Oryctolagus cuniculus: one gene and its partners. The protein of the gene in region 1 interacts with the protein of each later gene in a pairwise test. Links are inferred from orthologs where the notes say so. Each region holds a gene or a part of one and is shown in the gene's direction. Other genes may lie near its edges.

Evidence for each region. The genes of interacting proteins can lie anywhere in the genome.
Region 2: the proteins of ATXN1 (region 1) and ANP32A interact in binary tests that used the Homo sapiens proteins (3 or more experiments, as listed by UniProt). The link is inferred for Oryctolagus cuniculus from reciprocal best matches to the Homo sapiens genes ATXN1 and ANP32A.
Region 3: the proteins of ATXN1 (region 1) and METTL17 interact in binary tests that used the Homo sapiens proteins (3 or more experiments, as listed by UniProt). The link is inferred for Oryctolagus cuniculus from reciprocal best matches to the Homo sapiens genes ATXN1 and METTL17.
Region 4: the proteins of ATXN1 (region 1) and TENT5B interact in binary tests that used the Homo sapiens proteins (3 or more experiments, as listed by UniProt). The link is inferred for Oryctolagus cuniculus from reciprocal best matches to the Homo sapiens genes ATXN1 and TENT5B.
Region 5: the proteins of ATXN1 (region 1) and PRRC2B interact in binary tests that used the Homo sapiens proteins (3 or more experiments, as listed by UniProt). The link is inferred for Oryctolagus cuniculus from reciprocal best matches to the Homo sapiens genes ATXN1 and PRRC2B.
Region 6: the proteins of ATXN1 (region 1) and LRSAM1 interact in binary tests that used the Homo sapiens proteins (3 or more experiments, as listed by UniProt). The link is inferred for Oryctolagus cuniculus from reciprocal best matches to the Homo sapiens genes ATXN1 and LRSAM1.

The regions. Positions count from the first base shown.
Region 1 is NC_091436.1:143,606,041-143,610,157, reverse strand, and holds part of ATXN1 (ataxin-1), read left to right. Parts: intron 1-3,496; coding exon 3,497-4,027; 3' UTR 4,028-4,117. UniProt on the Homo sapiens protein: Chromatin-binding factor that repress Notch signaling in the absence of Notch intracellular domain by acting as a CBF1 corepressor. Binds to the HEY promoter and might assist, along with NCOR2, RBPJ-mediated repression. Binds RNA in vitro.
Region 2 is NC_091443.1:91,522,399-91,527,035, reverse strand, and holds the start of ANP32A (acidic leucine-rich nuclear phosphoprotein 32 family member A), read left to right. Parts: upstream 1-1,517; 5' UTR 1,518-1,594; coding exon 1,595-1,648; intron 1,649-3,666; exon of another isoform or gene 3,667-3,806; intron 3,807-4,637. UniProt on the Homo sapiens protein: Multifunctional protein that is involved in the regulation of many processes including tumor suppression, apoptosis, cell cycle progression or transcription. Promotes apoptosis by favouring the activation of caspase-9/CASP9 and allowing apoptosome formation.
Region 3 is NC_091443.1:53,912,845-53,917,703, reverse strand, and holds the start of METTL17 (ribosome assembly protein METTL17, mitochondrial), read left to right. Parts: upstream 1-1,739; 5' UTR 1,740-1,816; coding exon 1,817-1,897; intron 1,898-2,050; coding exon 2,051-2,204; intron 2,205-2,293; coding exon 2,294-2,428; intron 2,429-3,522; coding exon 3,523-3,604; intron 3,605-3,828; coding exon 3,829-3,910; intron 3,911-4,250; coding exon 4,251-4,324; intron 4,325-4,859. UniProt on the Homo sapiens protein: Mitochondrial ribosome (mitoribosome) assembly factor. Binds at the interface of the head and body domains of the mitochondrial small ribosomal subunit (mt-SSU), occluding the mRNA channel and preventing compaction of the head domain towards the body.
Region 4 is NC_091438.1:144,514,245-144,519,014, forward strand, and holds the start of TENT5B (terminal nucleotidyltransferase 5B), read left to right. Parts: upstream 1-1,650; 5' UTR 1,651-1,854; coding exon 1,855-2,121; intron 2,122-4,770. UniProt on the Homo sapiens protein: Catalyzes the transfer of one adenosine molecule from an ATP to an mRNA poly(A) tail bearing a 3'-OH terminal group in an ATP hydrolysis-dependent manner.
Region 5 is NC_091432.1:233,878,385-233,883,064, forward strand, and holds the start of PRRC2B (protein PRRC2B), read left to right. Parts: upstream 1-1,560; 5' UTR 1,561-1,810; intron 1,811-2,682; exon of another isoform or gene 2,683-2,732; intron 2,733-4,680.
Region 6 is NC_091432.1:230,975,759-230,980,526, forward strand, and holds the start of LRSAM1 (E3 ubiquitin-protein ligase LRSAM1), read left to right. Parts: upstream 1-1,648; 5' UTR 1,649-1,745; exon of another isoform or gene 1,746-1,755; intron 1,756-1,778; exon of another isoform or gene 1,779-2,489; intron 2,490-2,560; exon of another isoform or gene 2,561-2,569; 5' UTR 2,570-2,682; intron 2,683-3,282; 5' UTR 3,283-3,341; coding exon 3,342-3,413; intron 3,414-3,630; coding exon 3,631-3,687; intron 3,688-4,084; coding exon 4,085-4,129; intron 4,130-4,768. Other genes in the region: RPL12 (large ribosomal subunit protein uL11), read right to left, coding at 307-388, 531-629, 1,009-1,082, 1,454-1,490.

The DNA.
Region 1 (4,117 bases):
AGATACAGAAGGTTAAGCAGAAGAGTCACACTCCATGTCCATTCCATGGAAATTTATTACTTTCCACAGTTGTATTAGTATTTAATGGTTTATGAGTAGGTATAATGCAAGTGTATGAAGTTCAGTGGACATTTTCACTATTGTATAGAGCCGATGCTTATTTGGATTTACCCACATAGCTCCCGTTTCCTTGCTCTTCATTTCTCCCTGCATCTACAAACCTCTCTCTAGATTCTTTGTGGGTTTTTTTTTTTTTCCTTCTGAAAGCTTACTCTAGTATTTTCTGTAGAGCAGTTCTGTTGCTGGTGAGTTCCCTTAATTACTGTTTGTCTGAAACGTCTTTATTTTGCCTTCATTCTTGAAGAAGCTTTGTGCTCTGTATAGAATGCTTGATTGGCAACTCTGTTACCTCAGCACTTTAAAGATATTCCATTGTCTTCCGGCTCCCATTATTTTTGTTGACGGAGAGTGTGAATGTAATTGTTACTGATTTGAGGTAATGTCTGTTTGATCTGGAGGCTTTTAAGATTTTTCTTTCCTGTCTCTGGCTTAGAGCAGTTTAACTATAACCTGCTTGGGTGAGGATATTTCCTCACTCTTCTTTCTTGGGGCTAAGTCTTCTTGAGTTTGTGACTTCCCTCTTGTTAGTCTGGGAAAATTCAAGTATTAGTTCTCTTTCCTCCTAGGATTCAAATTGTGCATCTATTAGACCTTCTCAATGTATCTTCTGTCTCTTAGGCTCTCCTCTGAATTAGCCCCCCCCCTTTTTTTGTACCTTTGATTCATTTTTTGTAGTTTCTTCTAAAGCTCTTAATCTAGTTCAGAATCCAATTACAGAACCCAGTTCACTAATTCTTTCTTCAACTGTGTCTATTCAGCTGGAAAATTATCTTGATCTTAGTGAATATAGTGCTTTCATTCTAGAGTGTCCAGAAATATTTTAAAAATAAATTAGACTTGGGGCAGGCATAACGGGTAAAGCCGCTGGCTGCAGTGCCGGCATCCTGTATGGATGCCAGTTCAAGTCCCGGCTGCTCCACTTCCGATCCAGCTCTCTGCTATGGCCTTGGGAAAGCAATGGAAGATGGTCCAAGTTCTTGGTCCCCTGCACCCCCGTGGGAAACCTGGAAGAAGCTCCTGGCTTCAGATTGGCCCAGCTCCAGCCATTGCAGCCATCTGGGGGTGTGAACCAGTAGATGGATAGAAGACCTCTCTCTCTCTTTCTTTCTCTTTCTCTCTCTCTCTCTCTGCCTTTCAAATAAATAAATATATCATTTAAAAAATTAAGATTCTAGTTTTCTCCCCACTCCTCAAGCTTGTGTTTCATCTCCTGAAATATTGTAAGCAGGGTCATTTTTAAGTCTCTGGTGATTACCAGAAGCCCCTGTGGGTCTGTTCTTATGATCAGATGTTTTGTCTTTATTAGTTTTGCTTCTCTCTTGGTCTCCTCATTCTTCCTCCCTTTTCAAAATTGAATGGTAATGTAGTATTTGCAACAGTGTGGAAATAATTCAAGAGCTGAATCCAGTGTTAGAGACTGAGATGATTAAGATTTGACTTCAGACCTTGGAAGGCCTATCCACTTCTGATGCACCCTTACTTTTAAGGCATAGTGTTTGGGATCAGAGGTTAAAAATCGGGGTTCGGGGCCGGTGCTGTGGCACAGTGGGTTAATGTCCTGGCCTGAAGCGCCCGGCATCCCATATAGGCGCCAGTTCTAGTCCCGGTTGCTCCACTTCCAATCCAGCTCTCTGCTGTGGCCTGGGAAAGCAGTGGAGGATGGCCCAAGTGCTTGGGCCCCTGCACCCAAGTTGGAGACCCAGAAGAAGCTCCTGGCTCCTGGCTCCTGGCTTCAGATTGGCGCAGCTCTGGCCATTGTGGGCATCTGGGGAGTGAACCAGTAGATGGAAGACTTTCTCTCTGTCTCTACCTCTCTCTGTAACTCTGTCTTTCAAATAAATAAAATAAATCTTAAAAAAAAAGCGGGGTTCACCAAAGATCACCGTCCCTTGGTGTACCCTGCACTGCATTACACACACACACAAAATGCTATTGAGATTCCCAGAAGCCCACTTAATCTTATAACTGCTCTACTTTGAAATATTCAAAGTTGGCTTGGAACACCACCAGGTTCAAATCTGTGGGCTATCATATCCTTTTCTGGTTTGACACAGTTAAGTTTTTTACTGTCTTATTTCTGTCCAGTGCCTTTAAACAGTGTTTTTTTAATTATTTATTCATTTATTTATTTGCTTGAAAGTTACACAGAGAGAGTGAGAGACAGACAGATCGTCATCTGCTGGTTCACTCCTGAGATGGCTGCAATGGCTGGGGCTGAGCCAGGCTGAAGCCAGGAGCTTCTTCTGGGTCTCCCAAATGGGTGGCAGGGGCCTGAACCCTTGATCCACCCTCCACTGCTTTTTCTAGGCCATTAGCAGGGAGTTGGATCAGAAGTGGAGCAGCTGGGACTCATACTGGCACCAACATGGCATGCTGGCATCAACACCACAACACTGGCCCTGATAAAAATGCTTTTTAACATTTTCTTCAGAATTTTTAATTTTGTTGTTTTTATGGTATTTTTGTTGTTGTTGTTGACAGCTTCCAGTTTTCCTTAGTAGGAAGCTTGTTCCAAAATTGCCTAGTCTAATACATCTCAAACAGCCATTGAAAATTGACTTTTTAAACTACTTCATTGCTCTCTCTCTAAATTTTTTATAATGTTGAATAAATTTAATTTCATGAGAATTAAACTCTTAAAAGCATCGGGTGCCTTTCAGACTTTGGCTATTTTGCAAATACCCATCCCGTACCCTCTCCTTGCCTTTGTTTGTGATACTTAAATGTCTCCTTGTAGCCCCACCTCTGGCATGGAGCAGGATTGGAAGCAGAGCCACCAGCCCACACACTCGTGCTCCTATGAGAGCCCAGCATTGCCACCGGCGGCTGAACCCTGCTGTACCACAATGCTGACCCCCAGCTGACTTGTTTTAACAGAGACCAGGGATAGAGCTAATGCTAAGTGAAGTATTTGGATACTGAATGGACCTTTTCACTGGACCGTTTTCTGCATTGGCTCCTGCCCAGCTTCTCTATGTAGTAAACGCAGATACAACAGGCAGCAAAGGGCCTCATTGTGTTGTGTTGCTAGGGAAGGGAAGTTTGTTAGTGGAGTCTAATTTATTAACATGCAGCCTGTGTGTGTGTGTGTGAGTGGGGGAGGAAGGAAGGAAGGAAGGAAGGAAGGAAGGAAGGAAGGAAGGAAGGAAGGAAGGAAGGAAGGAAGGGAAGGAAGGGAAGGAAGGGAAGGAAGGGAAGGAAGGGAAGGAAGGGAAGGAAGGGAAGGAAGGGAAGGAAGGGAAGGAAGGGAAGGAAGGGAAGGAAGGGAAGGAAGGGAAGGAAGGGAAGGAAGGGAAGGAAGGGAAGGAAGGAAATCATACAGAGCTCTCACTGGTTTCCCTCCTGTCTGCCTCTCTGTCTCTCCCTGTTCCCACAGGTCAGCGTGGAAGTCTTGGTCGAGTATCCTTTTTTTGTGTTTGGACAGGGCTGGTCGTCCTGCTGCCCGGAGAGAACCAGCCAGCTCTTTGATCTGCCGTGTTCCAGACTCTCAGTAGGTGACGTCTGCATCTCGCTCACCCTCAAGAACGCCAAGAATGGCTCTGTTAAAAAGGGCCAGCCCGCAGATGCTGCCAGTGTCCTGCTGAAGCGCTCAAAGACCGACAGCCTGGCGGGCAGCAGACACAGGTACGCCGAGCAGGAGAACGGGCTCAATCAGGGAAGCGCTCAGATGCTGTCTGAGAACGGTGAACTGAAGTTTCCAGAGAAGATGGGCTTGCCCGCAGCACCCTTCTTCACGAAAGTAGAACCCAGCAGGCCCGCGGCCGCGAGGAAGAGGAGGTGGTCGGCGCCGGAGACCCGCAAACTGGAGAAGTCGGAGGACGAGCCGCCTTTGACTCTTCCCAAGCCTTCTCTGATTCCTCAGGAGGTCAAGATTTGCATCGAGGGCCGGTCTAACGTGGGCAAGTAGAGGCAGAGCGGACGAGGCGCCGCGGCCGTCCCGTGCCCTTCCTTCGTATCCAGATTACTGTACTGTAGGCTAAATAACACAGTATTTACA
Region 2 (4,637 bases), on another chromosome or scaffold:
TTAATTTTGCATTTCTCAGCTACTCAGAGTAACCATGCTCACCTTTCAAACTGCACTTGTTATTTTCGCTGAAAAAAAAAGGCACGGAGGAAAACGCTTATGAGCCGCAGCCCTTCAGGCCTGCAATCCAGCAGGTTGCAGTATTAAGATGCTCCGGCTTCCTGCCCCGTGTGCGCGTTCAGTGTTTTATTTACGCTGTCACTTTGTATTTCCTCCTAAACTTTAAGAATGAAACTGTATCGGTGTTATGTAACCATGTTTTACATTTCTCCCTCCATCGAACCCACGTCTGGGGGGGGGGGGGAGTAAACAATGTATCCAATATCCAAAAAGGGGGGCGGGAAACCAGCTCGGGGTCCGTGCTGGGGGCACCGGGGTGTGCGGAGAAACCAACGCGCCGACCCAGAGGGGCAGGCCGACGCGGACGCCGCCAAGTCGGGAACCCGCTGGGGAACCGGGCTGAGAGGTCCCTCAAAACTTCCCCCCCAAAATAATCAGGCGGCAGCCCACGGAGACGCCTGGGCCAAGCGTTCCGACGATGCCGCCCTGCAAAGCCGCAGCGCACGGCGCGCGGCTCCCAGCCGCACGGGCCTCGGCCCAGGACTCCGGGCGGGACCCGCGCCTGCCTCTCGCCCCGGCCACCCCTGCAGACGTGCGGCGGCCGCTCTCAGGGCACGGTCTTCACCCACTCCAGGCCCGGGCGCCCCGGGGCGAGCTGACCTGACGCGACAGCCACAAGGAAGCCTGCCTCTGAGGAGACCGCCGTGGACCCGCGGTGAGTCACGCCGGGGTGCAGGCCGCGGGCGGCGGCCGCACCGAGGGGAAGGGGCGCGCGGGCCGGGAGCCGCAGCCCGGGGCTCCCGGCGCGACCCTGGGGACCCCGGCCCAGGGCCGCCCCCTCCCCCAGCGCACCCCGACCCCTCCCGCGTCCCCGGGGCCTCCCCCCGCCCCAGCCACGCCGGGCCGCCCGCCTCCTTCCGCAACCCCGCGGTGTGCCGCGCGGGCGGGCCCCGGGCAGCCCTGGCGCAGCCCGCGGCGCGGCAGGGACCCCGACCCGACCCCTCCGGCCGCGCCCCTCCCCCTCGTGTAACGCACCTGCGGCCCCGCCCCCGGCCAAACGCGGAGGCGGCGGCGGGCTGGCGAGGCCAGGCGGCTCGGCCCCGGAGGCACAGTCACCTTCCCTTCCCCCGCCATTCCGCCCACCCCCCTCGCTCAGCCAGGGAGCAGCCGCCGCGCTCCTCCGCCGCCCCGAAATCTAAAGGGGTCCGTCTCCGGCACCACAACCAAATGGCTGAGCCTCCCTGGCCGGCTGCGCAGCCCGCCCATTGGGCCCTTCCCCCCCCGCCGCCGCCGCCATTGGCTGTTGCTCGGAGACCCTCGGCGGCGATTGGCCCAGGCCGCTGCCGTTCGTCCGCGGGGCCGCAGATCCCGCCTCCACGGCGATCAGGTTAGTGTGCGCCGCGGGTGCTGGGGGCTCGAGAACCGAGCGGAGCTGGTTGAGCCTTCAAAGTCCTAAAACGCGCGGCCGTGGGTCCGGGGTTTATTGATTGAATTCCGCCGGCGCGGGAGCCTCTGCAGAGAGAGAGCGCGAGAGATGGACATGAACAAACGGATTCATTTAGAGCTGCGGAACAGGACGCCCTCTGATGTGAGCATTTGCCAAAAATATCCCCGGCGGTCCATTCTCCTACTTTGTGTGTGCGTGTGTGTGTGTGTGTGTGCGCGCGTGTGTATGTGCGTGTGCGCGCGCGCGCTGGAGGGGGAGGCACTTCTTCCTCGGGGGCGTGGGGCCGGGGGCCGCAGAGCCCCCCGAGCCGCTGCCCTTGCTGGGTGACTACCTGTGCGTGTGCGCCCGCGTGTGCGAGGTGCGTGCGAGTGTGCACCGGCGGGGCGGCGGGCGCACGCGTGCGGGCCGCGGGAGCCTCGGGGCCCGCGGCTCCCGCGCCTCGGCCGGGGCAGGGATGGCCGCGGGGGGCGGCGGCGAGGGGCTGCGCGCCGGGCTCCGCGGCCCGGGGGAGGGGGCTCGGGGCCGCCGCGCCGCCCCCGCGCCCCGGCCCCCTCGCGCACAATAAGTTTTGGGCGCCGCGAGTCCGGTGTAGTTTGCGGTCCGCGGGGGGCCGCGGCCCGGGGCAGGGGGCCGCCGCGGAGTTGGGGGCGGCTCGAGTTTAAAGTGCGTCTCGGTGGCTTCGCAGTGATGAGGCGAGAGACGGGGGAGCCATATTTGTAACTTTGTAGTGTTCGTGAACGCGCCCTTTCTCTCCCTCCCTCCCTTCCTCTCCTCTTTCTCCCTCACTCTTTCCACACCACCTTCGGGCCAGATGCTGATGTTTCTCCCTCTCCTTCCGAGGGGAGGGTAGATTGGCAGGAGGGGGAGGGATTCTCGACGGCGCCCAGGCGCCCGGGGCCCCCGCGCCTCCCCAAGCTCCCGCCGCCGCCGCAAGTTGCCCAAAGGCGCCGCGTCCCGGTGCCCCCTCGCCCCGGCCCCTGCCAGCCCTGGACTGTGGCGGGCTCCTTGGCGGCCCCAGACTCGGGAACGGGCACGGGAAACTTTGTCAGGACGCGAGCTGCCGGAGCTGCCGCCGAGCTGGGCGGCGCGGGCCCACGACCGTGCGGGCACGGCGCGCACGCAGCCCCGGGCCGAGGAGTTTGCCTGCCCGTGGCCGGCACCAGCTGGGCGGCGGCGGCGGCGGCGGGACCCCGGCCAAGGGACACTTACGCGGGTGGGAGCCGGGGGTGGGGCCGGAGCGCACCCCAAGGAGGGGAAGGCGAGGCGGGCGGCTCGGACGCTCGCTTTTATTCCTGGCTCCCGCTCGCTCTCACACTTGGGTGTTCCGGCCGAGTTGGCGGCTGGGCTCGGAGACCCCGGCGGGACCCTCGGAGGCCGGGGAGCCGCAGAGTTGGGACTCGGGGCGGCACGGAGCGCGGACCGGTCGCCCCTCCGGCCCGTGCCACGCGAGTCCCTGGCGGAGGCAGGCCTTGCTTCCTCTTACCCTAGTTCCTCCCCCGAACCGGAGTGAGACTTTTGAAAACAAGATCCTTTTTGTCGTCCCCCTCCCCCCTCCCGCCTGCAGCGGCGGACGGTGGACGTGTGCGATGCCTCCGGCGCGCGGGGCGGAGGGAGGGGGCGCCCCGGCCGGGCGGGAGTCGCCGCGGAGCGTCCACCGCGCCAGCCTGCCTCCGGCCCGCGTCGCCCCGGCCGGGCCCGGGAGCCGAGCCTTTGGGGGCTGGGTGTGGTGATGGGGGAGGGGGCGCGGCCGCGGTCTTCCCGCGTACTTTCCGGAAAGCCCCCGGGGCTCGAAGGGGCCGGGGTCTCGGCCGGCCCGAGCCGCACCGCCGGCCGCCTCGGGAGCGCGACGGGCAAGCGGGTCGAACCGGCTTTAAACTTCGCGAGTGTGCGCGGGGGAGGGCGCGCGGCGCGCCGGGCGGGGAGGCTGCTCGCACGGCGCCCCCTCGCCCGCCAGCCTGGCGGCCCGCACGCCGGCCCCTGCCTCCGGGCGGGGTGGGGCGCGGGCGGCGGGGGAGGGGGCGAGCGCCGGCGAGCGAGGGACAAAAGGGGTGGGGGAGGAGAACCGGGTTTTTGCGGAGGCTCGGGAGACAAACAGCTCCTGGGGAGCGCCCCTGCGCCCTCCCCGCCGCGCCGCCCCCGGGGGCCCCCCACACACCCACCTTCGGAACCTCTCCCAACTCGGATCCGGGGCTGGTGGCCACGCCGCGACGCCGAACTAGGACGTGCAGCCATGTTCCCCGGTCTCGCGCGGCCCGCCCCGCCCCTCCCCCCACGGCGGGGCCGGCGCGGCGCGCGGGGCTCGGAATGCGGGCTCCGGCTCCATGCGGCGCGGGGCGCGGGCGGGCGCGGGGCGCCGTGCGCGCGGGGCGGCGCGCCGGGCGGCGCGCCGGGCGGGCCTTCGGGCTCCCGGAGCCGATTCCGAGCTCCAGGTGTTTTATTTGTGATGATGATTTTTTTTTTTTAACTGCGAGAGCCGCCCCGGGGCCGGGCCCGAAGGGCGCCGAGGCGTTCTTGGTGGGGAGGCGGGGGCAGCCGCCAGGGCTCTGCGCGCCTGTGGCACGACCGCTGGGCGCCGGGCTGCCATTTTGTCACCGTGGCTGTTGTCGCCGGGGGTTGGGGGGGGGGAGTGAAGTCTTGCGCCATCGCCTCGACGGCCTCCGGCGCGGAGGCGGCCTTGGAGCTGGCCCCAGGGCCCCCTACTTGTGCGCGGGGCTCGACTGGGGTCTGCACCCAGCGCCGGCGGCCCGAGGCGTCGCAGCGGCGTTGCGCGGGGAGGGCCTCGCGCCGCCAGGGCCGCTCCCCCACCCGCAGATCCCCGCCCTCTCCGCCTCTCTCCAGGATTTGGCCGATCCTACTGCAGGCGTAGACGTGGTTAAATGTAGCCTTAAGGACGATCCGATCGCCCGGCTGTTTGCTCCTTGGGCGGAAGTGATGGGGCGAGGGGAGCATTGAACGGGAGGGGTCTTTTGGCCCGGGTGGGAGGGTGGGGGAATGGGGGTCGCGCACGCGACTCTGGTGCCAGCCTGCAGCCGAGGACGGCGGCCCCTTCCCCGGGAGGGACGAGGTGCGGACGCATTGGGGAAACGCCCTCCGGGGCTGGGCTCTCCGGGAAGGTAGGTCGAGCTCCGCG
Region 3 (4,859 bases), on another chromosome or scaffold:
GAGAAGCCAGGCATTTTATTTCTATGTTCTACTACTTCTCTAGTAGAACACAGAGCTGATGTATAAGGTATATTTTTATCCTGCCAATAAAAGTACCACAAAAGATGAAACCAAGTGTTGCAGCAGAACCAAACTCAAAGAGGAAAAAGGCACACCAAAAGAAAGGTAAGCCTGAACAGGAGGAGAATAATGAAACACCTGAAGCCTACTTCTAAAGCATTTCGATTATAAAGGAAAGATCTCCTTTATTGGAATCAAATCATGTTAACCTAACAAATCAGACATTTAAGTCTTCAGCTGACACAGTTCCCCATGGTACACCATAATTATCATATTTGGACTCTTGCCATAACAGCAAAGGAAGAACTTCTACCCATCCTGTCACTAGACTTCTATCCCAGCAGAGTAAGGATGGACCTTTGCTACAGATATCAAGAGTTTACGGCACAGTAAGCTTTTTAGTGTTACATGCTAACACCTCCAAACACTTAGCATAAAGTTAACTAACTTGTGCCCCAACCACCAACAATATGGGGTATAGCATATTGTGTAAAAATGAAATCAGTGTTAAACTAGCTGTCACCTAACAAGATTTGTGATCTCAGGGGCCGGCACTATGGCACAGCGGGTTAAAGCCCTGGCCTGAAGCACCGGCATCCCATATGGGCCCCAGTTCTAGTACTGGTTGCTCCCCTTCCCATCCAGCTCTCTGCTATGCCCTGGGAAAGCCGTACAAGATGGCCCAAGTCCTTGGGCTCCTGAACGAACCCCTGTGGGAGACTCAGAAGAAGCTCCTGGATCCTGGCTTCAGATCGGGGCAGCTCTGACCGTTGCAGTCGTCTGGGGAATGAACCAGCGGATGGAAGACCTCCCTCTCAGCCTCTACCTCTCTCTGTAACTCTTTCAAATAAATAAAATAAATCTTTAAAAAAAATTGTGATCTTGCACATATTTAACCATTAGAAGTCTCACTTTCCTCAAGTGCAAAATGGGGCTGACAGCAGGATATGCCTTGGTAGGAACTAGATTACATAGAAGGATTTTCTTCCTTAATTTTGAAAATTTATTTTTAAACACAGAGAGAGAATCTCCTGTTGATTCACTCCTCAAATCCCAGCAACAGCAGGGGTGAAGCCAAGCCTAAGTCAGGGACTGGTCATTTAACCCGGGTCCCCTACGTGACAGGGACCCGAGGACTTGGGCCATCACCTGCTGCCTAGCAGGGTGTGCACCAGCAAGAAACTGGAATGCGGAACCCAGGAACTCTGATATGGGATGCTGACTTCCCAACAGACCCCAAGGAGAAGTTCCTAGCACATTACCTAGCATGTGGGCGTTCTCAGCAAGCGTTAGCGTTAGCTTATTGCTAACTGACGAGAAACTGACAACTAATTAAACTGTTAACTAAATTATTAATTTACTACCTTTAGTAGTTTAAATCTGGTTTCCTCACCTTTTCATTACTGCATTCTCCGGTTCACAGAGGAAAACAACTCCAGATTCAGTTCTACAGGGAGAAAAGCAACCAGATTTTGACAGCCGAAAGCCCGCCTCCGTCCCTCATGCCCCGCCCCCTCAATTTCGGGCTCTGCAGCACCCCCTTTCCGCCGATCAGGTCGGACCTGACTTCCAAGTCCCGCCCACGAACGGCTTCCGCCGCGAGTAGATTTACATATCGACTGCTTATTGGCTACTAATGAGCACTCCTTCTTCTCATTGGTTGATGCTGTCTCGAGCGAAATCCCGGAGGAAGTTCCGCGCGTCGTTGGGAGCTGAGGGTCACTTTCGTTTCTGTTTCCGGTTCGCCTGCGAAGGCATGGCGGCTGCGTCGGGAAAGAGGTTGCCCTCGATATTGGGCAGATGGCGCCGCGGGCTTCGAATGGCCCCCCAGTCCCGGGTGAGTACCTACTTTCTCTGCTCCCGAAGAAGCTCTGGGACCCTAGAGACAGCTGCGCTCCAAGAAGGAGCTGTTTGGCAGCCGCTTCCTTTAATTGAGAGCCCTCAGTCTTCCTTTGTGGCTGGCACCCAGCTTTCCTTTCTCGGCTTCCAGGCGCTGGCGGCCCTTGTTCGCGGCGTGAGTCAGGTAGATAACAAGTCCGATTTTCTGGGGAAGAAGCCTCACCGTCGGCACCCTGGCATCCTACGTCTGCCGTGCGTGCAACTGCCACAGGCACTGGCTGACGCCGCCCAGCTACTGCTACTCCGTAAGTAACGGCGGGAAAGGGGTATCCGAGGAGAAAAAGAAATGGGCCTTTGCACACAGGTAATTCTGCTTTTCATCTCTGGCCTCCAGAGAACGCAGTGCCCAATGTGGAGAAGCATGTGCAAGCACTGACCAATTATCTCTGGAGCCGACACTTGCCCGTAGAACCTGAGGAGCTACAAAGACGGGCTGTGAGTCTGGAGAAAAAGTTCCTGGAAAACGCAGGTAGGATTGAAGACTGATGAAAGATTAGGCCGGATTGAAACTGGGGAATGAAGTGCAAGAGATAATTTTACAGTCTCTCAAATAGATATTGGAGTTTCTTATTTGACTTTCCACCTTACTGGAAGATAGATTTGTTCCAGAGACTACCCTTGGGACGTGAGGAAGGGACAGAGTATGGCAATTGAAATCTGGATCCCAGTTGGGACCATCTACTTTTTTTTTTTTTTTTTTTTGACAGGCAGAGTGGATAGTGAGAAAGAGAGAGAGAAAGGTCTTCCTTTTGCCGTTGGTTCACCCTCCAACGGCCACTGTGGCCGGCGCACGGCGCTGATCCGAAGGCAGGAGCCAGGTGCTTCTCCTGGTCTCCCATGGGGTGCAGGGCCCAAGGACTTGGGCCATCCTCCACTGCACTCCTTGGCCACAGCAGAGAGCTGGCCTGGAAGAGGGGCAACCGGGACTAGAACCCGGTGTGCCGGCACCGCTAGGTGGAGGATTAGCCTATTGAGCCGCAGCGCTGGCCCATTCTTATTAAGGTGAAAGTCCCTGTAAAGTTAACTGCCTAATGCTGAAAACCTCTGGGATTGGAGAATACATGTAATATATTCACGGTTGTGAGCTCCTTCGTCTTACAGACCTTTTATTTATCTTGTGTCCCCTACACCCCCCACAATCTGGCTCTGAATGGGCATTTAGTACATACTTGCCAAACACAATAGAGTCCCTTTTCCACCTATAGGAACATTCAAGATGTCACAGTCTTAAGTTTTGGGGAAGTGAGGAAATCCACAAAATAATTGTCCTTCTCTTATCCTTTAAATCTAAATTGTATTTTCCTTTATTATAGAAAAAAATTTGTTGGGTAGGGTCAGTTAAGTTGAATATACTGCTGTTGGAGGCAAATACTATCTCATACACTCTAGGGGTGCTGGTGGTGATTATCCTTAGCTGAAATTTTTCTCTAGGTTTGGCTGCTTTCTTGAGCTTTGAGGCTTTTCCAGTGGGAGAGGGGAGAACCGGGAGGGCAGTGAATTAAATATTGGATCTGGTCTCTGTTCTCCTTAGGTCCTCACTTCCAGTCCTTGTTCTCACCGCAGACTCATCCCAGACAGAAGAAAAGCTTCGTGGAGCAGTGCTACATGCCCTGCGCAAAACCACCTACCATTGGCAAGAACTGAGGTGAGGGGGACTAGAAAACATGCAGAAGGAAGAAAAGTTGGACTTGAAAAGGAGAATGGAGCCGCACAATTGCATGATCAATGCAGTGTTTGAAAAAGTGCCTGAGTGATAGTGATCCCCAGGACCACTCTGCCCTGGGGAGTGAAAAGCTAAAGTGGAAGAGCCCTTTCCAAGATCTTATTTCCTCGCAATGGTCAGCAGGTGTGACTCTGATTTTTGTGCAGCTACAATGAAGGACTGAGCCTGGTGTATATGGCAGCGAGACTGGATGGTGGCTTCGCGGCAGTCTCCAGGGCATTCCATGAGGTGAAAAATCTGTGTCTAACTTGAACGCTCTTACCTGCTGTTCCCTTATTGATTCATAATGTAGTCTGTACGGTAGGGATTCTTAGGGTGCTGCGTAGGCTTTTATGCTTTGCTTTTTTTTTTTCTTTCTTTCTTAAAGTTCTCTTGTCCTGTAAAAGGATTCTGTGACCCAAGAAAGGTTCAGAACCACTATTTTAGGAGCTTGTTGTTAAGTGTTTATGTTGAATCTCAGAATGTGTTCACATCTTTCTTCCTCTGTCATAGTCCCCTAATTCATATTTACTAAGGCACTAAATAAGTATCTGCTTACCATACTGTGGGGTGTTGTGTGTTTCTCCAGATCCGAACTCGAATTCCAGAGTTTCAGCCACAAACCTTAATGGACTTTGGCTCGGGTACTGGCTCTGTCACCTGGTGAGTAACTTGCTTCATCCCTTTCTCAAGTCTAGTTCTAGAAGGCCACACTTAACACCAATCCAGTATCAAGAACTTGAAAAACCACAGGAAAAATAGGAAAGTTGAGAACCTAGAATGTTTCTTCTCTCCGATTAGGCGAGGCAGAAGAAGGTATATGGGTTAGGGCCAGGATTTAAAAGAAGTATCATAGTGAAAAAAGACCCATATCTGAAAAGTTTAAAAGCAAAGGAATAATAGTGTAGGGTGGCCGGCGCCGCGGCTCACTAGGCTAATCCTCCGCCTAGCGGCACCGGTACACCGGGTTCTAGTCCCGGTTGGGGCGCCGGATTCTGTCCTGGTTGCCCCTCTTCCAGGCCAGCTCTCTGCTGTGGCCAGGGAGTGAAGTGGAGGATGGCCCAAGTGCTTGGGCCCTGTACCCCATGGGAGACCAGGAAAAGCAGTGGCTCCTGGCTCCTGCCATCGGATCAGCGCGGTGCGCCGGCCGCAGCGCGCCGGCCGTGGCGGCCATTGGAGGGTGAACCAACGGCAAAGG
Region 4 (4,770 bases), on another chromosome or scaffold:
GTTTCTTTAGTTGTAAGCTGGGCACAATGACCCCACACACTGAGGTGTGCACTAGGAACTGGAGGTCACGTATGTAAACGAGCTTGTGCGTAGCAGGAATTCAGCAAGTGTTCCCGTCTGTTTTCCCTCTTCTGCTGAGGCACGGAAGTGGGGGTAGCAGACCACCTGGACCTTTCTCCTCGTTAACCTCAGGGAGATGTGCTGGGTCCAACGAAGATTTCTATGTCTGTTTTATTTATTTGTTTGTTTGTTTACTTATTTATTTAAGAGGTAGAGTTTCAGATAGAGAGAGGGAGAGACAGAGAGAAAGGTCTTCCATCCGCTGGGTCACTCCCCAGCTGGAGCTGAGCTGATGTGAAGCCAGGGGCCAGAGCTTCTTCCAGGTCCCCCATGCAGGTGCAGGGGCCCAAGCACTTGGGCCATCTTCTACTGCTTTCCCAGGCCATAGCAGAGAGCTGGATCGGAAGAGGAGCAGCCAGGACTTGAACTGGTGTCCATATGGGGTGCCGGTGCCACAGATGGAGTCTTAACCCACTAGGCCACAGTGCCCCTCTATAAACTTCTTAGCAGCCGACTGCACTGAGGCCTGGAAGGGACTGGTCCAAGACCACTGAGCCAAGCAGGGGAGCAAGCAGTAGGTCCCCTCCCGGAAAGCCAGAGCCAGGGGCTGCTTAGCCCAAGAGTCGGCCTCCCCAGGTCCACTCCCATGTCTGTCAGGGTCAGGCTGGTGACCTCAGGTTTACCACTTCCAGATCTTGGTTTCCCCGTTTGTAAAGTGGCCCTATGACTGCTGCCCAGGCTGCCTCACAGGAGAACGTTGGGAGGATCAGATTCAATTTGATACGTTATTGAGAATATATTTAAGAAAAAATTATTACAGTGATGAATCGGATAGCTTTAGTTTCTGAATGTTTGCCACACACGTTTATTTAAAATCAGGAGGGAAAGAGATGAATTTAAAGCCATAATGAGGCTGCACTCTCCCGCCTCTGTAAGGTGGGAGAGGAAGCCAGGCTCACGGAGTGCCCATCCTCCAGCCCCGAAAAAGCCCCGCGTCGGCTTAGGTGCAGCTGAAAGGGTCTGCCGGTGCTACAGCCTTGGTCCAGAACTTGAGGGGACGCTAGGGAAGCTGTACCGGCTCCCGGAGCGCATCTACCCCGCCTGCACCTGCACAGCGACACCAGCCAGGCTGCTGTGTGAACGGGCCACGCAAGAGAGGGCGTTAGAAAGCGCCTCGCAGAATTCAGCAAGCGGCGCCGTCTCTCCGGGCTTCTGGAAAAGAGCGGACGACCAGGACCGGCCCGAGTGATTTTCTCAGTTCCTTCTGGAATTTCTCAGCGATCCGACCCTTCCACAAACTCCACAACTCCCTTTCCTCCCGCCTGCCTCTGGAGGGCGCTTTCCCTTTAAGTTCAGGCCCACCCAGGCCAACGACAAAGCACAAAAATTCTTTAAAGACCAAAGGAGGGAATTCAGCGTGTGAAGGGGGCGGGGCATGGGCGTGCCTTCCAGCCAATCGGAATCGCCTTGGGAAACACTGACTCACGTGCAAAGTTCTGCTGGCCAATGGCAAGGGCATCAAGAGGCGGGGCAGCTCCCTCTACGTGACAGCAGCGCGGACCAATAGGCATGTGGCCCGCGGCCTATAAGAGTCAGCTGGGCAGGGGACCGCGGGCTTTAGGGTCGGTGGGTCGTCGCTGTCGGAGGTGTGCCCCGGGTCTGCCTCGCCGTCGCTGCCGCCCCGTCCCTGCATCTCCGCCCCCCGCCTTGGTCCCAGCACAGCCGCTCCCCCCGCCCGCCTCCCCTTAATCACCCCCCGGTTTCTGCCGTCGGGGCTCCGGGGCTGGGCGAACGATGCTGTCAGAGAGCGGAGCTGAGAGCCGAGACGGGGCGGCTGCGCAGGTGGGGACGGCTACGGCCTCAGCGGTGGCTACGGCCGCCCCGGCTGGCGGCGGCCCCGACCCAGAGACCTCTTCGGCCTCGGCCTCCCTCGGCCGGCACCTGAGCAGGCTGAGTTGGCCACAGGTGAAGCGGCTGGACGCACTCCTGAGCGAGCCGATTCCCATTCACGGGCGCGGTAACTTCCCCACGCTGAGCGTGCAGCCCCGGCAGATCGTGCAGGTGAGAGGGCGCCTGGCGGGCGCGGGTAGGGGGGTCTGGGGGCTCTTGGGCTGGGAGGCACCCGGAGTCTGGTCAGTTCTCTGGGCAGCTCGGGAAACTGAGGAACGGGGCTGGGGCTGTAAACCTTGCACAGAACGTGTTGATGGTAGACCAGACCTCTTCCTCCTGCACCTCCTCCTCCTCATTTGGCTTTCCCTGTCCCCCCTCCCCTCCAATGGAACCCCGCGGGCCCTGGCTGGGGGAGAGGACGAGAACGGGGAGGGACTTGGCGGGAAGAAGAGCCCTGCCTGCGAGGACAGAAGATGCCAGGCAGCCCTGGGTGGGTAGGTGTGCACGCGTGGGCGAAACAGCTTTCAGTCCCCAGCCTCGCCTCCCACCCCCTTCACGGGCTCAAGATTCCAGGATCAGAATCTCGGTGTGTTCCCATAGAACCCCTGCCTAGGTGGGAAAGTCCAGAAATCCCCACGGGGGCTCCCTGTCTCCTGGCTGGGGTTGTGAGTCCAGGGCAGCCCAGCCCTGAGGGCGACGTCCGTATTTGTCTCTCTCCCCAACGGAAGCGCGGCAAAACCCAGGTCTCAGAGCGGCACCCCCGCGTTTCTCCTGGGGAACCAGAGAAGGGAATTCTGCCAGCTCTTTCCTATCTTCAGACTCCAGCTCTTCCCCTACCTGACTCTCCATGACCCCAAATCTCTCTTTCCTCTGCGCAGCCCAGGCACGGTCACGCTCTGCCGTGCCAGAGTTAGATCATTATTGAACCCATTTTACAGCCGAGGCCTCCGGGGCGGTAGTGAGCTACCTACAATGGCCTAATAAGGTGAAAATCAAACCCTGCGACTCGGGTCTTCCTGGGACTAGGCTGCTGCAGACTCAGGGTTTGCCCAAGCCCTCCTCCCCCTCCCCAGCTTTCAAGCTCACCTTCTAGGTGTTAGGGGAGTCCTTGATGGAAGGAGCCAGGAAATCCCTCGACAACCCCTGGGTGTGCTGCCAGCCAGGGCATCTACCTTCTGGGGAGGCAGCCAAGCAAGCCAGGTGAAGCAGACCGTGCCCCTGCCTCCGCTACCTTAGCCTCCAGTAGGGGGGAGGGCTGTGTAAAGGGGGGTTTCCTCATCCGCCCTCCCCAGGAACAAGGAACCCAACCGGAGGGGGTGGAGGCAGGGGCAGATTCCCCGGGCCTGACTCACCGCGGCCCAGTGCTGCTTGCAGAGGCATTCCTCGGCTGCCCGCTGTCATCTGGCTGATGAGCAAACCGGCCAAGGCTTTTTCTCCCCAGGACAGACTGTGGCATGGGGGACCAGGAAGGTGGAGCCCAGCGTGGGAGCCCCTTCTGCAGGGACACGGGTGCCCTCGGAGGAGAGGTCCTTGTGCCTTTCACAATGATCCAAACTGCTTTTATCAGTGCTTGCCAGGCGCCAGGCCCTGTTGGGGACACCAAGGGCACAGATGTGATTAGGCCCTCATAGCCAGGTCCATAGGCGCCGGCTCCGTGTGATCGCGGTGGTGTCCCCACCTCCTCCTGGACAAGGCTCAGGGGGACCACAGAATGGCGATCTGTCACTCTGCAGAGATTTCAGAGCTGGACTAGGCGGTCAGGCACCTGCGTTCAGGGCTTGGGCCAGTGTCAGCGTCCTTCACTGTCGTCATCTGCGCAGTGGGGACAGCTCCAGCACCCTGTCTGCTTCCAGAAGCCAAGGAAACAGCTGCCTCCACTGGGGAGAAAGCCTGTCTCCCGGCAGGAACCCGAGGCTGTCGGGGTGGGGGTGGGGAGGAAGGAGTGCAGATGGGGGCATCACACAGGAGGAACCCGAGGCTGTTGGGATGGGGGTGGGGAGGAAGGAGTGCAGATGGGGGCATCACGCGGGCTGGGGGGTGGCAGCAGTACTGATCGTTGCCTTGGGGCTTCTCAGCACTGGAAGTTTTCTTCTCAACCCCACGAGGCTTTGCCTATGGCAACAATTACAGCAGCTGGAGATGCTGTTCTTGCTGACACTGGGCTAAGGGACCCACCCTGGAGGCCCCCTGCCTACAGCTCTGGGAAGCTTGGTTCTAACTAGGCTTGGCTACTCATTGGCTCTGTGACCTTGGGTAAGTCCTCTGCCTTAAGCTGAGCTCCCCAGTTGCAGCCAGCGGCTGCTCTGGGTGTGAGTTTCACAAGCCTACCGGCTGACCACCTGCCAGTCTCCCTCCCTGCAGGTCTCACAGCAGCCCAGAGGAGATGGTTTGGGGGAGGGCCTTGGCACAGGAGAAAGGAGGGTGCAGTCCCTGCCCCCTCTGTGACTGGAAAGTCTGATTCAGGAGGCGCCAAGCTGCCCTGCAGTCCTGGGGTGTGGTGGTATCTGGGGATCACCTGCCAAACTGGCTGCAGTCACACCTGGGAAAGAGACAACAGCCGCTGGCTGGCTGACACAGCTGCCCATGGCCCTGATGCAGGGGGTTAACAAGGGTGCTACTACCTACTCACCAGGCCAGACGCCATGCCCAGGGGGGTACCAGCCTAGGAGCAGCACAGAGGAGGCTCTGTCAGCCTAATGGCACTAGGGGAGGGGGCTGGTCTGCTCTTGTGGGTCTGCAGGGTCCTTGGACAGAGGACATTGGCCCACTGCTCTCATTGGCCTCCGTATCACCTGACAGGTGTGGGTTAGAAGCCCCGAG
Region 5 (4,680 bases), on another chromosome or scaffold:
GAGGCTGCCTGCATTCTTTGGTGTGAGGTCCTGCACCACCATTTCATTAATCAAAATGACCGCTTCTGGGGTGGGCGTTGTGACACAACAGGTTGGGCCACTGCTTGGTACGCCTGCATCCCGTGTCCGAGTGCCCGCGGGAGGCCTGGTTCCACTTCTGCTCCTGCTTCCTGCTGGTGCTCCTGGAAGGCAGCCGGTGGTGACCCGGACGGAGTCCCTGGTTCCTGGCTTCGGCCTGGCCCAGCCCTGGCTGCTGTAGCCATTTGAGGGAGTGAACCAGAGGATGGAAGACCTCTCTCTCTCTCTTTCTCTCTCTGTTGCTGTGTCTTTCAAGTAAATAAAATACTTTTTTTAAAAAATGACAACTTCTGGGGCCGGCGCCGTGGTTCACTTGGTTAATCCTCCGTCTGAGGCACCGGAATCCCATATGGGCGCCAGGTTCTAGTCCCAGCTGCTCCTCTTCCAGGCCAGCTCTCTGCTGTGGCCCGGGAGTGCAGTGGAGGACGGCCCAAGTGCTTGGGCCCTGCACCCGCATGGGAGACTGGGAAGAGGCACCTGGCTTCTGGCTTCGGATCGGCACAGCGCTGGCTGTGGCGGCCAATGGGGGAGTGAGCCAACGGAAGGAAGACCTTTCTCTCTGTCTCTCTCTTTGTCTATAACTCTACCTGTCAAAAAAAAAAAAAATAAAAAAATAAAAAAGACAACTTATTCATCAGACACATCTGCTCTGAGTCTGACCAACCTGCCTCCATCTTGGGATTCCAGGGGCCCAGCTAACCTGGGATTTAGTCCCCAGCCCAAGTCCTCAATTTAGTCACATCTGCAAAGTCCCCTGTGCCACCTAAGGTGACGCGTTCACAGGACCATGGATTAGGACTGGGGGTCCGTTATCACAGCTCTGCCCCAGGAAGCAATGCGAATTTGACGTTTAGAGAGGGGGTAATGTTGGAACGCTCCTCCAGGGCCCTGCTGTGTGGCACCCAACCCCAGGCCTGGGATCCACGGGGACACATGCCCTTCACCCGCATCCGCCGACTCTCAGCTCCCGGGGGCAAACGCCCCGAAGACCGAGGCGGGGGGGAGAGCTGGCACCAGGCCCCAGCTTTCTCTTTTTTGGTCTTCACTTTTAAATTTTCTTTTGTACCTGCTAAGAACTGTCTAGAAGCAGCAGAGGAGCCCAGCGCAGGCCTTTTGTTTTGCATGCCCCCCCACACCCGGGAGAGCCGGCCTCCCATACCCCGCATCCGAGAAGAGAGAAGGTACCCCCGCGGTGTCACCACCCCGCTTCTCCGCCTCCCGCACCGGCGGGCACGCAGCACAGACCGCACGCCTCCCGCACCGGCGGGGGCGGGCTCCGGCCCCTCCCCCCAACCCCCTTCCTCCTCCTCCTCCCCCCGGGCCCTGCCCCCACCCGCCCCGCAGCGCCCCGCACCGCCTCCCCAGGCTGCCGCTCGCGGGCGGCGCGGCAGGGGGCGCTGCGCGGGCCGAGCTGCGGGCGGCGGCGGCGGCGGCGGCGGCGGCGGGAGGAGGCGGCCGAGGAGGCGGGGGCGGCGGCAGCGGGGGGCGGGGAGCCGAGCGCGAGCGGAGGCGAGCGGCGAGACACGGGCTCCGAGGCGCCAGCGACGAGCGAGAGAGAGCGAGCGAGAGAGCGAGCGACGAGCGACGAGCGCGCCCGGGAGCGAGCGAGCGAGCGACAGCCGCGCCGCCGCCGCCGCCGCCGCGCAATCCGCCGCCATCCCGCCGCGCCCGCGCCCGACCGCCGCCCCGACCGCCATCGCCCTGCCCCGTCGCGCCCGCGGAACCAGACCAGGTGGGCCGGGGGCGCGGGGCGGCGCGGGCGGCCGCGGGCCGGGGGCGGCGGGCCGGCGGCGGCGGCGCTAAGATGGAGGCGCCGCGGCCCGGCCGCGCTTTGTCTCGGCGGCGGCGGCTGAGGGCCGCGCTTTGTCCGCGAGCGCCGAGGGGCCGCGGCCCGGGGGCGGCCGGGGGCCCGGCGCTCGCCATTGTGGTGGGGGGCGCCGCGCGGCCGCGGGCGGGCGGGTCCCCGGGCGTCGCGCGAGGCCCCGGGCGCCCCCCGGGGTCGCCCTTCCCGGGGTCGCCCTCGGAGCGGGGACGGCGTCCCGGCTCTGCGCCCCCAGCCCACCCCCACCTCGCTCACTTTTCCAAAAACGCCGAGGGTCGCGCCGCAGGCCGGGGGAGGGGCCGGGGGCCGCCGCGCGCCGCCCGAGTTGGGGGTCGGGGGCCCGCGGCCTGCGAGCCCGGGTGGCGGGGTCAGGGGCCGCCCCGGACGGCGGCCTGGGCTCGCAGGCGGGCACCACAGGGTTATTTTGAAAAAAACACTGAATGCTCTCTGGCTAAAAACGTTTAATAAACAGGATGTCGCTGCTCGGGGCCCGCCAGATGGCTTTTTTTTTTTTTTTCTGCCCCCCCCCCCACCTTAGTTTAAAAAAAAAAAAAAAAAGCCCAGCACTGTTGCAAGCGGTGGGCCTCTCCGGAGGGGCTGGCCTACGTGAGATGGGAAGGGATTTTTCCCTCCTTCCTCTCTCTGAATATCACGGGGCGGGGGCGGGGGCGGGGGCGGGGGTCGCAGCCCACCTGGAGGCGAGGAGAGGGGGTGTTTTCCTGGCGGCCGGCAGCTTGCAGCGAGCGGGAGAAGGGGGGCGGGGAGGCTCTCTGGAGCGTGTCATTTGCTAAATGGCTGCCTGAGAGAAACCTTTCAAGCCTTTGGGTTCCAGGTCTGTTTTTTATTTCTAGTTTTTGGGTTTTTTTTTTTTTTTGCTCCTCTGTCAGGTTTGTTGTGCATTTGGTGGTGCGTTCTGCATTATCATCCGGTTCGGGTTCTGTCACCACCTCTGAAGTCCTAGCACGGGTGGGGGTTCTTCCTCTCCAGCTGCAGCCGGTCAGCCATGTCTGTGCACAGCGCCTGGTGTCAGGGGACGCCGGGGAGGCCCCGGGCTCTGCGGGAGCAGTCCCGCTCCGGGCGCTGGGGCTGTGTTATGGAGAAAGGTAGGGGCGCCGTGCCCTCCACCTTGTCTGGCTGGGAGAGTGGCAGAAGGCCTGGGCACACAGCCGCTGCTCTGCTGGGTGGTGTTCCTTGTACGACTGTTTGCGTAGCTGCTGAGGTCCCAGGACAGATGCTAGCCACTGGGGTGCCACCCACGGCGCCAAGCCTGCTGTGGACGCCACGGCTGCTGGCCTAAGGCTCGGGCAGGGAGGAAGGAGTCCAGGGCACAAAACAGCACCGGGCCCTTTTTCCGGGCCAGGCAAAGCAGCGTTTGGAGCTGAGCGCTTGGTAGACCTGGGGGTGTGGTCATGGGTCCCTGTCTTTGGACCTGGGGTCCTGGTCCCTTCAAAGTCCAGTCCTGGAGCTGGGTTTAAGGCAGGGCCAGAGATCCCCCAGGACGACGCGCAGAGGCCCGAGGAGGCCCAGCCTTTCCGGGGTAACTGCTTTTCCCTGTGGGGGAGCCTCTGCTTGGACAGGCAAGCGTGTCTTTTGGAACCCGAGCCGGGGTCTGGTCCTCGCCGGTTCTCTCACGGGAGTCTCTGAGCCTTAGCGCCCGCATCTGAGATGGGAGTATTTGGGCCTGCCTGGGTGTCTGGAGGCTCTTGGGAGCTTCCGGTAGGATTTGTAACAAGGTGCTTCAGCCCACAGGACCGCAGGACGGGGATGGACAGCTACCTTGTTTTTGTTGGGTCCCTGGCCGTGTCCTCCAGGGCAGGTGGAACTGTGACCTCCCCGCTCCACATTGTGTGGCCAGCTAGTGTTTTGGTGTCGTGGTTGTATGTGCTACCGCCTGGGAACACCAGAATGGCTCAGAAGGGTTGGGGAATTCAGCCAGAATCTGGGTGTCTGCTGCCTGTTGGGCGGAGGCTGAGCCCGGCGTGGCCACCGTGAGGGCTGAGATCCAGGTTCCCTCTTGGTCAGCGTGTTGGTAAACAGCGCTGGACACGGGCTAGTTTGCAGCCTGGGGGAAGAGCTTGTTTGGTTCACTTTGGCTTTCCCACAGTCTGTTTTTTTGTCTAACTTCTGTGGCCCGCTCTCCGGGCCTCCTGTTATCCCTTCGCTTCCCTTCTGACTGACTGCTGTGTTAGCTGGCTGGATAGGGAGGGAGACAGCGGGCTGCCCCTCCCCCGGTGCCTGCATACCTGTGGATTGTAGTTGCCCACTGCTGACCGCGTGGCCCCTGTCCCCGCTGTTGTGGGGGCCTGCCATGGCCTACCGTGCCCTGAATCCCCCAGGCCCCAGTGGGCCACTTGGGTGAGAGGAAAGCCTAGGGAAGAGGGACCAGACATTCTTGGGAGAGTGGAATTTCAGGAATGGCAGGTCAGAACCGGTTCTGCCCAGCTCTGCTTTGGGCTTGGCCGAGGGACTTTTTTGCTAGGCCTCTGGTTGGCCTGTTAGCTCCTCCCCAGCCCCTTTTGAATTTCAGTTCCCTTTTTTCCCCAAAGGATTATTTTATTGTACTTTCAAGTGTGTGTGGTTTTTTCTTTTCTTTTTTCTTTGCGCAAAGTACTGACTCATGTTGCTAATGGCTGTGTGCTGGTTTTGTGTATCATTATTCTGCCGCATGCGATTGCTTGTTTCTATTTCAGACCAGAGCAGGCCAGGTGGGCCAGTGCACGGGTTTCTAAAGTGGATGCTGAGGTGCTCCGCCATCAATGTATGTATCTCGTTATGGGCAG
Region 6 (4,768 bases), on another chromosome or scaffold:
TCGGCACAGAGTCATCCACGTGGAGGACAACCCTGTTTCCTAAGCCGGGGCTTCCTCTCAGCTCACCACTGGATTGCGCCAGCCAGCAGCATGGGCAGGCGCAGTGGCGGGTGGCTGGGACACAACCGAGCCTCCGCCGGAAGCCGGGCTGGGGCCAGTTAGGCGTCCAGAGGACTCACCCTCCACCCCCCGCACGCACGGGAAGCAGGACCTGCCCCACACTAGCTAACCCGTCACCTCCCACACTGTCACACAGGGGACACCCAGAGCCGCCGCTGGTCACAGACCCCTACACAAGGCACTCACTGTTCTTCTGCTTCTTCCGGTCCCGGGGCGGTTCCTTGAGGGCTTTGATGATGAGGGCCGAGGCCGAAGGCACCACCTCGATCTGCAGGACAGAGTCTTGTGTGAAAGAGCCCGACCCCACTGGACCCCACGCCGGTGAGCGTGGCGACGCGGCCACCCACGTGGGCTCCCAGAGCATGCCCAGCCCAGCCCAGCCTGGGGGCCGACAACACAGGCGGAAATACCTGGGCCTGCCGGTTCTGGATGGTCAGTTTCACTGTGATCCGCAGCCCCTTCCAGTCGCCGGTGGCCTTGGCAATGTCATCGCCAACCTTTTTGGGAGACTGTAGAGATATGGGCGGGTAATCAGCCTGTGCCCGAGCTGGGCCGCAGCCCCCAAACCTGCGCAGTACCGCCACCTCCCTCCGCCAGCGCCAGGGCAGCTGCACCTGCGCCCCATACCCCAGGTAGCACCAGGCTCCGGTGCGGCCACGCCTCGAAGGGCCCCTGCACCGAGGCGGCACGCGCGCAGCCCGAACCCGTTTGCGGAGGCTGGGCCCCAGCTGGCCACGGCAAGATGGCCCCTAGTGGCAGGAGCGACGCTCGGGTGCCCCACGGCATGAACGCGGTACAGAGTGGAGCCGGCCACGGCCCCCGCGAGCCCGCCACGCGCTGCCCACTGCGGGTCCGCCGCTCGGCTCCGGCCGCGCACCAAGTACTCACCAGGCCCAGGGGGCCGATCTTGGGGGCCAGGGCAGACGTGGCGCCGACCTCGCCGCCGGTGCACCGCAGGTATACTGGGGGGAGGGGGAGGAAAGCCGGGGCCTCAGTGGAGGGGCCGCGCCTCTCCGGGCTGCCCACCCGGCCGTCGCCTCTCCCCGACACAGCACCAGGAGCTCCCGGGGATCAAGGCCGGACACACGCTCCTCGCTCGGGCGCCGCAGCGGAGGCCGCCCGGAACCCACACGAGGGGCGCAGAGACCCCCGAAGACAAGCCTTACCCTAAGGCGTGCGGGCTGCAAAGCCGCCAGGGTCGTCCGCTCCTCCCTCCCCATCTACACGTGGGAAAGCCGAGGCCCGGGACGCGCAGCTTCGCGCACGGGAAAGGAGCGCGGCGGGGCGCGGGCAGCCTGCACCCCGCAGCCCCGCTCGCAGCGAGAGCACGCACCGACTTTGATCTCGTTGGGATCGAACTTGGGTGGCATGGTGGAGGCGCCTGGTGTCGGATGAACCCGGATTCGGGACGACCGAAGAGAGTTGCACCTTGGCCTCCTCCGAGCCGAATACCGAAAGGCCGGAAGTCCCGCCGACCGCACCGGATATAAGCAGGAAAATGCGGCTCTCGCGAGAGCTCCTGGCTCCGCCTAAAAAATCCTGGCTCCGCCTGGCGACGCCCTTGCCGCCATGTTTCTTGTGGGCAGGCTCCTGCGGCTGACTGCTGGAGAGCCGGGGGCATCGCGGTGAGCCGGGGTAAAGGATTCGGAAGCGGGGTTCGGGGCAGTTCGCCAACGGGGAGGCAGAGACGACAGGCTGCTCCCGAGATCCCGGGCCTCGCTGTTTGCTGTGCTCTCGTATCGTGAGGGTCACCCCGGGGTCCCTGTCACCGAAATCCAGAGACCTGCCCCTCCCCTGGGCGGTCCGCGCCCCCGTCCCGGGACCCGGGACTCCTCCTAACCCCTTCGTGGTGTGTGGGTCCGCTCAGCAGACCTAAGCCAGGTGCAACTCTTGCTCGTGCGAGCCCGGCGTCCCGGACTTGTCACTCCTGCTCTGCAGGACTTTTGGAGCTTTTGGGTTTCGGTCCCAGCTCCTGCCCCGGAGGAGCCGCAGCCACTGCTAAGCCCGGGGGTGACCCGCCTGTCCACCCACCCGGCCCGGTGACCGCAGCCGAGGGGAGGATGGGTGTGGCCCTCGCCCCCGGGCTGGACGCCAGCAGATGAGGGAGCGGCGTCGGGGCTGAGCTGGGAGGAGATGGGGAGCGGGGCGGGCAGGCTGCGGCAGACCCTGCCCGGTGCCGGCAGACTGGTGGGTTTGACCGGAGGGCCTGGGCGGGCCACCCCTGCGGCTGGCAGCCCGCACCCCTGTGGGCGGAGACCTCTGGCCTCCGCCGCTTCCCCAGCCGCGTCTGCTCCCCTAGCCCTCGGCCCTGGCTCCGTGTGTGCGGGACGGGCGGCGCTTTGTGGCCGTGGAGCGTTCGCTGTGTGCAGGTAGCGGCCGTGTGGGGGCCTCAGGTGTGTGAACTCACTGGGAAGCCGGTGTCGGTGACATTATCGCTCAGGCTCCGCAGGTGAGGAAGCCGTGAGCCACGGTGACACAGCAGGTGGCTGGCCGAGCCTGGATCCCTACCAGCCTGGTGCTTGCTTCCTGGCGGGTGGCTGCCCCCGGCACGGATATTTGCAGGTACTGGGCAGGGCCCCTGCGGGCAGTGGGCACCAACTCCTGGTCCAGGACCCCAGCGCCAAGCAGGTGGCAAACCCCTGAGCATCAGGTCGTGGAAGCCCAGGGTTCCAGGCTGCAGACCCACATCCCAGAACCTGCTGAGCGTGTTTCTCCACCATCAGCAGGGCCCTGGTGAGGGTCCCATGGAGTGATGACTGTGAGGGCGGCCAGGCGCCTAAGGGTCGCCCCTGAATGTTGATTCAACTCCGAGATCCCTCTGGCTGTGACGTAGTTGAGCCCCCCAGAGTCATGGCTGGCTCCAGTCTGGTTCTGCCGTTCTAGCTTGGAGGAGCCGGAAGTGACCCCAGTCTGTTAGGGTCCTCCGGGAGAATCCTGAGGAAGTGTGGAGGCCCGGCCGGGGTCCCACAGTGGGTCCCTGGCGAACGTGGGCCCACACCCGGATCACATGGCTTGCCGCGTGCCCCTTCCGCCCCAGCCGGCCACTGTCTGAGTCCTGGGCACCTGCAGCGTGGGCTCAGGGAACTGGTGGATGAGACAGGCGGTACCGTAGGCTGGGGCCACCTGTCCACCTGTCCTAGACGCTGGGGACAAACTCCGCAGGCCCCAGCTTCTCTCCTGTGCCCCAGCGCCCTGAAGATCCGCTCCGGGGAAAGGGGACGATGCCGCTCTTCTTCCGGAAGCGGAAACCCAGCGAGGAGGCTCGCAAGCGCCTGGAGTACCAGATGTGCCTGGTGAGGGACCCGGGTGCCCCGGCCCCAGCCCGGCTCAGCTGCGCGCTCCCTCCCCTCTGCCTCCCCAGCCCAGCCCTGGCCGCCGGGCGCACCTCCCGGTGGGATCGCCGGACTTCCTGGAGAACACGCGAGAATCCGCTCAGGGCGCCCCTTGCCGCTCCTTGCTTTTGGGCGGCCTGTTCACTCCCCAAGGATTTTTTCATCTCGGTACCCTTAGGCGAAGGAAGCTGGGGCGGATGACATCCTGGACATCTCGAAATGCGAGCTCTCGGAGGTAAAGTGAGGGCGCGTCTGGGCCGTGCATGGGAACGGCCCTGCTCTCTCGGACCCCGGGTCTCCGGCAAGGGTCTCAGGGGAGGGAGGGGCTCCCGGAAGGAGACGCAGCCTTAGACCTCCGGGTCTGAAAGAGCTCACGCCATCTTCTGTTTTCAGCTGGGTCTCCAAGGCCCGCCGTTTCCCTCGGGGCTGGCAGAGCAGGGATGCACAGCTGCCCCTGGGGCCTGAGGAGGCGGGGGCGGGGACAGGGTCCCTCTGCTAGCTGAGTGCAGCAGGCCTGGCCACACCCCCGCCAGCCCGGCCAGCGCACGCCCCGGCCCGCCCCGCCCGGGAAGCCCCCCGCGGGAGGGAGGCCACCGCGGAGGGAGGCGCTTACCCTTCCTTATCTCACTTAGATTCCGTTCGGGGCCTTTGCAACCTGCAAAGTTCTCCAGAAGAAGGTGAGCAGGGATTCCTTCTTTTAAAGATTTATTTACGTATTTGAAAGGCGGAGTTACAGAGAAGCAGAGAGAGAGAGAGAGAGAGAGAGAGAGAGAGAGAGAGAGAGAGAGAGAGGTCTTCCATCCACTGGTTCACTCCCCAATTGGCCGCAATGGCGGGAGCTGGGCTGATCTGAAGCCAGGAGCCAGGAGCTTCTTCCGGGTCTCCCACGTGGGTGCAGGGTCCCAAGGACTTGGGCCATCTTCTATTGCTTTCCCAGGGCACAGCAGAGAGCTGGATCGGAAGTGGAGCAGCCGGGACTAGAACCGGCGCCCACACATAAGGGATGCAGACACCACAGGCGGGGCGGGGCGGGGGGCGGGGCGGGGGTGCTTAGCCCGCGGGCCACAGCGCAGGAGCAGGGACTTCTTTCCAGAGAGTGGTGTACTGCTCCTCCGCTCCTTGGAAACCACGTGGGGCTTATGGGAGCTGCCCTGCCGCACAGACACCTCCCTTCCCCCCAGGTTTGGGAGGTCACGGGAGAGCCGGCCCTGGGTCACATCCTGGCTCCGCCCCTCCCTGGCTTCAGGACCTTGAAGCCTCCTAGCCCAGCTGCTGCTTCTGTGGCCTGAGCGCCCAGCGTGCTCTGTCCCAGGTGC